Linked DNA regions of Macaca fascicularis. The protein of the gene in region 1 interacts with the protein of each later gene in a biochemical or structural test. Links are inferred from orthologs where the notes say so. Each region holds a gene or a part of one and is shown on either strand. Other genes may lie near its edges.

What was found.
Region 2: the proteins of AHR (region 1) and NRIP1 form a complex in vitro, tested with the Homo sapiens proteins (2 studies listed by BioGRID). The link is inferred for Macaca fascicularis from reciprocal best matches to the Homo sapiens genes AHR and NRIP1.
Region 3: the proteins of AHR (region 1) and NR2F1 form a complex in vitro, tested with the Homo sapiens proteins (2 studies listed by BioGRID). The link is inferred for Macaca fascicularis from reciprocal best matches to the Homo sapiens genes AHR and NR2F1.

Annotation. Positions count from the first base shown.
Region 1 is NC_088377.1:112,862,289-112,865,788, forward strand, and holds part of AHR (aryl hydrocarbon receptor), read right to left. Parts: intron 3,469-3,500; coding exon 3,359-3,468; intron 2,697-3,358; coding exon 2,555-2,696; intron 1-2,554. UniProt on the Homo sapiens protein: Ligand-activated transcription factor that enables cells to adapt to changing conditions by sensing compounds from the environment, diet, microbiome and cellular metabolism, and which plays important roles in development, immunity and cancer.
Region 2 is NC_088377.1:32,171,461-32,175,509, forward strand, and holds the start of NRIP1 (nuclear receptor-interacting protein 1), read left to right. Parts: upstream 1-1,249; 5' UTR 1,250-1,430; intron 1,431-1,938; exon of another isoform or gene 1,939-2,006; intron 2,007-4,049. UniProt on the Homo sapiens protein: Modulates transcriptional activation by steroid receptors such as NR3C1, NR3C2 and ESR1. Also modulates transcriptional repression by nuclear hormone receptors.
Region 3 is NC_088380.1:97,584,113-97,588,313, forward strand, and holds the start of NR2F1 (COUP transcription factor 1), read left to right. Parts: upstream 1-1,401; 5' UTR 1,402-3,210; coding exon 3,211-3,673; intron 3,674-4,201. UniProt on the Homo sapiens protein: Coup (chicken ovalbumin upstream promoter) transcription factor binds to the ovalbumin promoter and, in conjunction with another protein (S300-II) stimulates initiation of transcription. Binds to both direct repeats and palindromes of the 5'-AGGTCA-3' motif.

The DNA of each region.
Region 1 (3,500 bases):
TGAATTCAAAAGGGGGCATATTTTATTTTCACCTCAATTATTCTCATGACTGGTGCTATAAAATTGTTTTTCAGACAAGCATATTTAAATGATTTAATTTTTTAAAAATAACTTAGTTAATTCCATGGTCACATTACAACCCTACCTGACACCATGCAAAAACAAAAACAAAAACAAAATTGTGTGGAATAAAGCTCTACACATAAAAACAGACTACGAGAATTTAGGGGCCAGGCCCGGTGGTGCATGCCTGTAATTACAGCACTTTGGGAGGCTGATGTGTGCGGACTGCTCGAGCCCAGGATTTTGAGACTAACCTGGGAAACATGGCGAGACCCCCACCTCTACAAAAAAATAAAAATTAGCTAGGCGTGGTGGCACATGCCTACAGTCTCATCTACTCGGGAGGCTGAGGCAGGAGGACTGCCTGAGCCGGGAGGTTAAGGCTGCAGTGAGCCACATTTGTGCCACTGCATTCCAGCCTAGGTGATAGAGTAAGATCCTGTCTCAAAAAAATAATCATAACAAAATAAAAAAAATTAGGAATTAGAAACTTAAGAATCTGAAACAACAAACCTCTCTAATAAAACCCAGAAGCTATAAAGACAAAGATTGGCATAATTAGTAATATGAAAGTTATTTAATATTAAAGTATTTGTATTTTTGCAATAGAATTCTTAAATAAAATATTTGTAACATATATAATTTATAATTTAACATATATATATATAATTTCATATCCATAATAAAGAGCTCCAATAGTGTCTAAGAGAGAGGCAAACAACTCAACAGAAAAACAGGTAAATGACACAAATGTAATTTATAAAAGAAAAATATCCTAGAAAGATGTAAAAAGATGCCCCCTATTAGTAATAAATAAATGAAAACAACATGTCTTAGTAACAGAAGCACACAAAATAACAAATGTATAGAAATATGAACACAATTAACAAACTAGACTTCTGATATACAAAAAGAACAACATACTCCCAAATGACAGAACATGTATTCTTCACAAGATTACATGGGTTATTTTACCAATGTAGAGCGTGTATTAGATCATAAAATAAGCCACCACAAATTTCAAAAAAACTGAAATTCATTCAGAGAACGTTTTCTGACTATAGTGGAACTAAGTTACTAAGTCAATCACAAAAAGGCAAGTAGAAAAATCCCCAAACACCAAAAAGTACAGTAACACTGTATTTCTAAATAATTCGTGAATAAAAATAAAATAAAAAGAAAATTAGCCAGTATTTTCAATTAAATAAAAATAAGATAGCAAAAGATGAGGGTTGTAAAGTTGTACTTAAAGGGAAACTGATATATATGTTTAAGTATATATTTTTTAAAAGTTGGATAAAATCGTAAATTATACCCAAAGAAAGTAGAAGGAAGAAAATAATAATGAGCAGACAAAATTAAAACTGAAAACAAGTGTATAAAATAGAAAAAAAATCAATAAACCAAAAGTTGGATTCTAATAAAGACTAATAAAGTCTAATTTAAAAAAGGTGCCTTCTAGAAACATTGATCAAGCGAGAAGGACAAATTTGTAGAGGTACACACATACCCACGCACTCATATACATCTGTACACACATACTCATATACTTCCATGGGTACTTATATACACACATACATTCACCATGTTCATGGGTTCAAAGATTCAGTATTAAAAAGATGTTAATTCTCCCCAAATGATCTACAGTCTCAAAGTAATCTCACTCAAAATCTCAACAGATTTTCAGACAACTGTTTTCTAAAATGTATATGGAATTATAAAGGGCAAAGAAGAACCAAGGCAATCTTCACAAGCAGAACAACAAAAAAGGCGAAACAAACAAAATAAAGACACACTCAGACATAGAAATTTATAATAAAGATAGAATAACTAGGACTGTGTAATGCTAGACAAAATAGACAACTACACCAATGGAACTATTAATAGAACAACACAATCCAGACAGAGAACCAAAGACAAAATCCCCTGATCAAAATACAGTGCAGTGGGGAAAAGATGACCTTCTCAGTAAATCACCTTTTCAATGTGACTGGTCAATTGGGTATACATATAAGGGCTGGGGGGAATCAATCCTTACCTCAAGCCACAGACAAAAATCAATTCTCCAGGGTGGGAGGAAACATTTGCAATACAAATATTTGATAAAGGACTCATTTGTAACATATGTAAGAAACTCTTGAAATCACTGCTGGGTTTAGAGAACATATTCTAAATAAAGCATTGTTATATTTTTCTTTTATTTTACCAATGACACTAGCTTTTCATATGTACTTCATATGCCCAGGATAAAACCCTAGTGTTTTCTTTTACTATTCTTTCTATAGCTCTGCACATGTAGCTGCTCAATAAAATTTGTCAATTCTGTCTTCTCAATGTCTCTCACCTGTGCTCTTCTTTCTAGACAAATTACTTAAACTTTTCAGTTTTTATTTACAGACTAAATTCTGCTTGAATTATTTTTATGCTTTCACATAAGAGGACTTATGAAAACAAAACTGTTAACAAAAACAGGAAACATTCTTTTGCTTACGTTAGTGGTCTCTGAGTCGCAATGATATAATCTGGTCTTCCATTTTTATAAAGCAGGCGTGCATTAGACTGGACCCACGTCCATCGATTGTTTTTTGTAAGAAGCCGGAAAACTATCAAGCCGCTTTCTCCAGTCTTAATCACTAAAATAAAATTAAAAAATTAAATTATCAAACCCCAAATCAATATATTAAAGAATATTCCTAAAACAAAGCTCTTGTGACATAGTTCTGGATGTATTTCCTTTATCCCCAAAGATGATACATTTTAGACACACACAAAAAAAGGCATGGAAATGGTTTTTCAGAGTTTTTTTTCCACTTCAGACTAAATTTATTATTTTAAATGTTAAAGGGAAGATTATGTACCAGACAATTCTAGTAACACAGGAAAGTAGAGAGAGAGCATAAATTGGGGACAAAAAAGATTAAAAAATTATTTTAAAATAGGGAATATTTTCCTACAGGCTAATACTTTATAATTTTAAAGTAGAGTTATTAACATCATTGTTACAATATTAACATATATTTATGAATTGATAACAATGTAATTTAAAAATTCCCAAGCAAAACTTCATGGGCCAAATGGTTATTTTTTAATAACTAAACAACAATATTTCTATGAGGCAGGTGTAGACAAGTTAATGAACAAAGAGTGTAACCCTGGTTAATCATGATGATAAGTTACTAAGTAGAAGTTTATCTATATAGTTTACTTAAACACGTTATATTACATAAGAATTTGAAACATGTACTACAGTGTATGCTGTTTTTTTCTGACATGTTCATAAGGAACTACAACTTACTCCGGATATGGGACTCAGCACAATAAAGCATATCAGCAGCATGAATAAACTGATACCCTGATCCTCTCGTGCACAGTTCTGCTTCAGTATATCCTAAAACAATTCTTCCTCTGTTTAAAATTTAAAAAGGTAAAATAAGAAT
Region 2 (4,049 bases), about 81 Mb from region 1:
ATAGCGTTTGGACCTCCTGGGAGAATCCCTAACACCTAGGAAGAATATAGAATAGGAACTGGATATATTTCCTGAATCCACTACAACCTACTACAACAATTACTTTTAATAAAATTGACACTGAATTGTCAAGAAAATGCTAAATGATGTTCAATAAACCGCTTAAGAGAAACATTTGCAATACATTGTAGAAAAATCTTTGTATTATGGTTAAAAATAATTTTCGTAAAAAAAGTTTGACCCCCACTAAGGGGCCAAGCTCCAATTACGCTGGTCATCATTGAAACGGTTTGCTTTGTATCAATTCTGAATAAATGATGCACTAAAAAACAGCAGCCTTTACTAATTTGCCTACAGCAGATTTTGAATTGTGGTATATGCAAATAATATGGTATTATATGAGGTTTAACTTTTTAAAATGGCAACAGATTGCATAGTTCAATCAGTAGGGTGATGTAAAATAATTGTTTTTAAAAGTGCCATTGTCACTAAGGAAAACATCGGTACCATGTGCCCGGCACTGTGCTAGGTGCTGAATTTATTAAGCATTAATTTGAAAAATTGCTTTCACTTTCAAGACTGTGACAGTATTCTAAAACTCTCATTCATATTTTTAAAGGTTAAGTGAAATTTGCAGTACACAATACAGCCATTACATAACAGGCATAGAATACAGTTTCATGACTTGGATAGTTGTTGTTTTTTAAGCGCATTAGCAACTCCATTTTCAAATGCTATCAAATTCTTCAGGATATAAAAACCTACATGTAAGAATGGAGTGCCTCATCGGCTCATTTGTCTTATGTAATAAGTGTTTTAACACAGTCATGCCATTTCAGAATTTCGGGTGAGACTAAGCTATACTTTAGCTTTTTTGTGTCAAGCAAAAACAATTTCAGCAACAACATTGGTTTCCCCTGGTAATTTTTTTCATGGCGAATTACTAAATGCTGGATGCTCAAGTCAAAAAGAAACCTGACATCTGGGGAGGTGTTGAGGGGGTGTTAATAGTTCTAGGGAGATGTTTGGGGAGCGCTGAGGATACGATTTTTAAAACAGCAAATACACGGATAAGGGGAAATTATGGTTTCGTATGACTCTCTCCTCCCTCCACTTTCTCGTTTCAGCAGTCTGTAGCCCCCCCAATTTAGAGGCGGGTTCAGCGAGATTAGGCTGCAGGAAACCAAGAGGCTCCACCGCGCTGCCGCCCCGGCCTCGTGATGTAATTGTTATTTCTTATTCGGAGACTGAACCGAGGAGAGCTGCTGAAGAAGTAGCAGCTCTGCTCCTTTTGCCTTGTCTGGTTCCCGGGGATGATGTAGATTGGCTGACAGACTCCGCTGGAGACTTCGCAGTGACAAAGCAGCCGAGGATTAACCCTGCTCCTGGGTCCTACGTCTGTCCAGGGAGCTGAGCGGGGCGCTCCTCAGGTCTCCTTCCTAGTTTTCCTCCCGGAGTCGCTCCACATGAGGGCTGGGTGCCTACTACGTGCTGGGCGTGGGGTCAAAGTGACCCAGAGTTCGCGCCCGCGCCCCCCACGATTAAAGCAGGACACACAGATTACAAGGAGATAGAAATTGGGTGGGGGGTGAAAGGGGGCCCAGGGAGCGCGTGTTGTGGGGTGAAGGGGAGGAGGTAGACTTTTAAGGCGCCAGCACCCAGGCGGGGACCCTGGGGCGTCTGGGGTGCCCCGGTCCCCAGGCTCTGCCCAAACGGGAGCATTCGGCCTGGGTCCCGAGAGCGCTTCCCCGGGTTCCCAGGAGGAGCTGTCCAGGCGCCTGCAGCGGTCGCGGGCGGCTGGACAGAGCTGGGAGCCCGGAGGACGGCCAGGGCGCGCCGAGCAGCCCCTCTCTTGGGGACGCGGTCCTTTCGCTGCCTCCGGGCCCTGCAGCCCCGTCTGAGCCACCCGGAAAGCAGGCGAGGAGGAAATCCACGAACCATAGGGGGCTCCGCAGCTACCGCGAGCGGCCCGGACCCGCACGGCTTCCTCCTGACCGGCTGACAATGGGAGGGAGGGGGAGAAAAGGGTTAAGAAACTTGGCTGAAGAGCTGAATGGCGTGGGGCGGCGAGGGGAGGGACTGGGCCGCGGCGGACTCGGCGGCGGAGGGAGGAGCGCGGCTGCGGGCGGGCGGGCGGCGAGCGAGGCGCTCAAAGTCAGCCTCGCAGACATTGCAGCAGAGCCCCGAACTCGGGAGGCGGCGGCGGAGGAGGCGGCGGCGAGGCGCAGGGACGATCCGGCCCCACGCCCGCCCGCCACCCGCGCGCGCCCGTCCGCCCGTGGCCTCGCGTCCGCCGCTGCGCCGGGAGCGCCGCTGGTCGGAGGGAAGAGCTCGCCGGGGTGCCGGGCCAGGACGGGGCGGCAGGCGCCTTCGCGGACCGAGCCTGACGGAGCCGGAGGCTGGGAGCCGCGGCGGCCTGGGGTGAGTGACGGCCGCGGCCAGGGCGCCCAGAGTAGCGGCCGCCGGCGCCGCCGGAAACGGCCCCGGAGCGCGGCCCGCGTCGGCGCTGGCTTGGCGGGCAGGGCCGCGGGGGCGTCGGGGCGGCGGGGGCAGCGCGGCCGGCCGCGGGCGCGCACGGGGCGGCGTGGAGGGCGCGTTTCCGGGGAAATCCTGCCTCTGCTGCCTGGTTCGAGTCTCCCCGGGTTCTCGCGGGGGGCCGGGGCGGCGGGCCGGCAAGTTGTGGAGTGGCCCCGGGTCGGCCCGCCCGTCCGTGCCAGTTCTGGGCAAGGGGGCGGCCGTCGCGTGGCCCCTGCGCGGGGTCGGACACTGGAGCTCGGGGGCCGGGTCGGGGTTGCCCCTCGCTCGCCTGCCCTCTTGGTCGCGAACCTCGGGCACCGCTCGCTGCGCCGCTCTCGATCCTGCTGTCCAGCCGGATCCTGGGCGGCGCCTTTCGCCTGGGTGCCTGCCTGCTCCGTGCTTGCTGGATACCCGGCTGGGAAAGTGAATAGGAAAACGGACAGCTCGCCCGGCCCCCAACGGACCCCAGGCCCGCTCTGCCCGCACTCGCCGTCCCCCCCGGATGGCGTGGCTCACGGACCCGAGGCCTCAGCCATCATTTTACCAGGAGCCAGGGGCCGGCCCCCATTTAGGGTGAGCCCCGTGGAAGTCCGGGAGGCTGCCCTTTCTCCCTTCTGCTGTCCCCACCTTACTACTATTGCATATTGTTTTATGAAGGTTTTCGTGGACGTATTCTGCAGACCCTCACATCCCTTCCAAAGTAGTTTCCCAATTTTAATCAGGAGTTGGTGTTCAGTCTGAAGGAACAAAGGAACCAACTGTGTCTTAGAGGCGGACAGGCTGGGAGTCTGTGACACATGTTGATCTCTGAAGCATTCCAGGAGTTTCTACCTTTTATCACGTCAGTAATTGGCTGCTGAAGGTAGTAAAAGAAGTACGGAATGATAAGCACTTTTGCTTTTTAAAAATATTTTTTAATGGCACATTTTACTTTGGGGGAAAGAAGACGTTCTTAGGCACAAGGATTTTTAAAAACTCGGCCGGTGGAACTGAGGTGGAGTTTGTCTCTGGTATTGTAAATGATTACATGTGGGATTGTGAAGGAAATTGTGTCGTTAGAGGAAGAGAAGCCATCTGTAGGTGTCCGTAGTAAAAAATGGTTGTCGGATTATAGGTGATCAATGCTCTTTCTGTTTCTTGGGAAAATTTGTGAAGCAAGGGGCTTCGGTAATTCATTCTTTAAAGTTATGAATTGCATTGAATGCTTATTAGTGAATCATAGGTTTAGTAAGTGGGTGGCATTATTCAATGTTTAATCATCAGTTTTCCACCTTTGTGGAAGAGATAGTGAGATAATAGACTTTTTAAACAAATGGTGTTTCATCTGCTTAGCCCGTAAGTGTCGGTTGCCGCCTGGTGTATGTTGAAATGTTTTCACCTTCGAAGTAAGTGAATTGCTCTGCTTTTGCCCAGCAGTTTGGTAATGTCGATAGGGTTTATTTGGTTCAGGGGAGCGCTGGCTTCATCGCCTATAGTAACTTTTTTTCTGCCTGGGCATAGTTCCTAGAGACAAAGAAGGAGAATCAATTAGT
Region 3 (4,201 bases), on another chromosome or scaffold:
CTTCGGGAATCGGGGTCTCGGTCTCTCTTTCTCTCTCTCTCCTCTCTCTCCTCTCTCTCCTCTCTCTCCTCTCTCTCCTCTCTCTCCTCTCTCTCCTCTCTCTCTCTTCTCTCTCTCTTCTCTCTCTCTCTCTCTCTCTCTCCGTCCCCTCTCATTCTCTCTCTCCTCTCTTCTCTCTCCCCTCTCTCTCCTCTCTCTCTCCTCTCTCAATGTCTCGCGCTCTCTCTCTCCTTTCGTCTCCTCTCTCTCCCTCCCCCTCCCCCTTTTCTCTCTCCCTCTCCGCCTCCCCCCCTCTCCATCTTCTCGTTTGTTTGCTCTTTTCCCGGGACTGATTTGGCCACACTAATCTCCCCCCACCCCGCAACAATATGGGGACTTACTACTGTTTTATTAATAATTATTGAAGCATTGTTGGAGTTTGGAACAGCCAGGTGATTTAAAAAAAAAAAAAAGAAGAAGAAGAAGAAGGAAAAACTGGATTGATTGGAAAGTTTATTTTTAAAATCGTCTTTGGGATAAATAGGAACCCTTGATTCCGATCGAATTTGTGGCAATAGCCGCAAATTCCAGGAGTGTGCTTTGTCGTCATTAAACCTTTTAAACCCAGGTATACTTTGGATCAAAAAATAGGGAGATCCTACCTTGTTTATAACAAGGATATAAAATGAGCAGAATCCAGACTTGGATTGTGCTTATATGTGAGAGAAGAAAACAATCCAAATCCAGTATATTTCACGAATCATTAAAATGGTGGGGGTTTCATTCCCGTTAAAATTTTTTCTAAACATTTTAAATGACACTCTCTTCACGCTCATAAAATCTAATTTTAAAAACTTTTCAGAAGAAATCAAAATAATTTCCTTCTAATTCTCCTTTTGCCCATCGCTAGGCGTTCTCCCCCCCTCGTCATCCCTTCCCCCTCTGGGGTGTATGCGTAAGTGTGTGTGTGTGTGTGTGTGTGTGTGTGTGTGTGTGACCATAGACGACCCATACTAATCAGGTCTCAGAGTAAATAGCAGCGCAGGGCGATCTCAATGTAAATTGCGCTTGTCAGAAACACACCCCCCTCCCTCACTTTCTCTCCTCCTCCCCACACCATCCCAGTCTGTAGGTAGCTAAGAGGGAGGGGGGAAAAAAAGAAAGAAAGCAGAAGAGGAGGGGGGAGGGGCTCTCCAACCAATGGCGTGCAGGAGGCTTGGCTAACCTTAGCCTCCCATTTTCTCTCCCCCCGATTCAGGGCTCTGACCAGTCAGTCGCCTTTGATTATCAGTTGCCAGCAGCCCTTCTCTTGGCTCCTTGACACGAGCTCCATATAAGGCAGCGATCTCCATAGAAACGTGTCAGTTTCAATAGTAGTGTCAAAGTTCACTATATACAGACATTCGCGCAGATCCCCCTTTCGGAAACATTGCTCTGCGAGTCCTCCCGTTTAAACGCATTCAATTTTTGGGTCTCTCTCTCTCTCTTCTCCTCTCTCTCTCTCTCTCTCTGTCTCTCTCTCTCTCTCCTCTCTTTCTCCCCCCTCTCTCTCCCTCCTCTCTTCTCTCTCCTCTCTTCTCTGAACCTCTCTTCTCTCTCCTTTCTCTTTTCTTACATATTCTACTAGTTGTTTTCCCCTTCTTCTCCTTCTTTCTCTCCTTTTTCTCCCTCCTCGTCTCTTTTACTCCATTCCTGCAGAAGAGAGAGGGCTAAACTTAAAGAAAAAAAAAGGAGGAGGAGGAGGAGGAGGAGGCACCCCCTTCGTATTCTTCTTATCGTTATTTTATACATATATGATTTTTTTTGGAGGGAGGGTGTTGGTTCCCGGCTGAAGAGCACTTATTTAAAATACTAAAAAAAGAACATTTTTGGGCGATCTCCAGGGTTTTTTTAACTAGCTCTGTGTGTTATAGCAGAAGAAGCAGAAGAAGGAGCAAGAAAGAGGAAAAGAAGAGGATTATTTATTCGACCTACTTTGGATGTCTCTCTCGCTTTTCCTTTTTCCTTTTTTTGGCAATTATTTTCTTCTGATTTTTATTTTTTCTATTTCGCTGTGAATTCGTCGCCGGCGTGAATTATCCCGTATTTTTTTCCCCCTTCCGTCACCTCCCGAAAGAAGAAGGCAGCTAGAGCCCGGCGCCACCGGCACAACAAAAAGAGCAAAGTGTGTGATCTTCCTCGCCGGCTGCCTCCCGCTCTCCAGCGCTGCCTTCCTGAATGGCTGGCTGCGTCCGGCCCTGGACCTGGCCCCCCGACACCCGCGCGCCCTGATCGCCGCCGGCAGCCTCGCCCAGCGCCCTGCTCGGCTCACCGCGCTCCCTGCACTCCCGAGCCCGGCGAGGGCTCCCGCCGGGACAGCAGCGGCGGCGGCGCGGGCGGCCCCGGCCTCCGCTCGCGCTCCGGCTGCGGCCCCGACTCCTGCTCGGACTCCGGCCCGGGCCCGGGCTCCTCCAGCGGCGCTCGCCGCAGCAGCTCCGGCGGCAGCTCCAGCGGCGCCTGCAGCCGCGACCTCCTCCTCCGCCGCCGCCGCCGCCGCCTCCGCCCTCGCCGGCTTCCTCTATGTCGGCTCAGCCAGCGCGCTGCGCGTAGCCCAAGCGGCCGGCGGGCGGGCGGGCGGGCGCCCGGCGCGGGTGAGCGAGTGTGTGTGCGAGTGTGTGTGTGCGCGGGGGTGCGGGCGAGGCGGAGGGCGAGTCTGTGCGCGCGCCGTGGCCCATGCCCGCCGCCCCCGGCGCTGCGCCCCGCGCCGCTCCCGGCTGCCGCCTGTGCCATTTCTGATTTTGCAACTTGGGGAAGAAGAAAAAAGCGAGAGAAGGGAGCTTGCTCGCCGGGGGGTGGGGAGGGGGGAAGGAGAGCGCGGCCCCCCCAGGAACGGAGCGCGGGGGGAGCGGGCGAGGGGAGCAGGGGTGTTGGGGGGGGAGCCTGAGAGCCTGGGGGGGCTGCAAAAAGAGAGAAAGAAAACAGCAGGAACCACAACAAAACGCCAGCAGGGCGGGCGGGCGCGCAGCAGCAGCGGGGCGGCCGAGGCAGTAGCGGCGGCAGCGGCGGCGGCGGCGGAGGCAGCGGCCGGTGCCCAGCTCGGGCTCGGCTCCTGCGACCCCGGGGCGCCCGGCGGGCCCCCCGCCCCCTCCCCCTCCCCCCTTCCCCTTCCCCTTCCCCTCCCAGCGCGCCGGCGCGCCCCGCGGCCCTCGGCGAGCAGCTCGGCTCCCCCCAGCGCTCCCCGGGCCCAAAGATATGGCAATGGTAGTTAGCAGCTGGCGAGATCCGCAGGACGACGTGGCCGGGGGCAACCCCGGCGGCCCCAACCCCGCAGCGCAGGCGGCCCGCGGCGGCGGCGGCGGCGCCGGCGAGCAGCAGCAGCAGGCGGGCTCGGGCGCGCCGCACACGCCGCAGACCCCGGGCCAGCCCGGAGCGCCCGCCACCCCCGGCACGGCGGGGGACAAGGGCCAGGGCCCGCCCGGTTCGGGCCAGAGCCAGCAGCACATCGAGTGCGTGGTGTGCGGGGACAAGTCGAGCGGCAAGCACTACGGCCAATTCACCTGCGAGGGCTGCAAAAGTTTCTTCAAGAGGAGCGTCCGCAGGAACTTAACTTACACATGCCGTGCCAACAGGAACTGTCCCATCGACCAGCACCACCGCAACCAGTGCCAATACTGCCGCCTCAAGAAGTGCCTCAAAGTGGGCATGAGGCGGGAAGGTGAATATTTCTTCTCTGCTTCTCTCCCCGCGCTTCGCCCGCCTCCCTGGCTCTTTCTTTCTTTCTCGCCCGGGTGGTTGCTGTGTGGGGCTGGGGCTCCTGTGGTCCCGGCCTGTCCCAGCTTCCCTTCTCCCCGCTGCCTTCCTCCCCCGGCGTCTCCCCCCGCCCTCCCCAGCTCACTGCCGCTGCCTCCCCCTCCCGGCCTGCGCTCCTCTCCCCGGCTCCCCCACCCCGCCCGCTGCCTGCTCAGGATTGTGTCCCTGAGATCGTGAGCTGTGGCTTAAAATCCCCCTTCTTCCCTCTGTCTTGGATGTGCTCGGTGTGTCTCTTTCCCGCGTGTGCGTGAGGCTGCTTGGGGCTGTGCTGGCATGAACTTGGGGAGGGGTGCTTATTTCCCCCAGAAAACTCTGTTTCTGTGTTTTTTTCATTACACTTTTCCCTCCACCTCTTCATACCCTTTATTTAAAATGGGGGAGGGTTGGGGTTGGAGTACCCTGAACCATAGATTCATTGCTGCCATCATCCTTT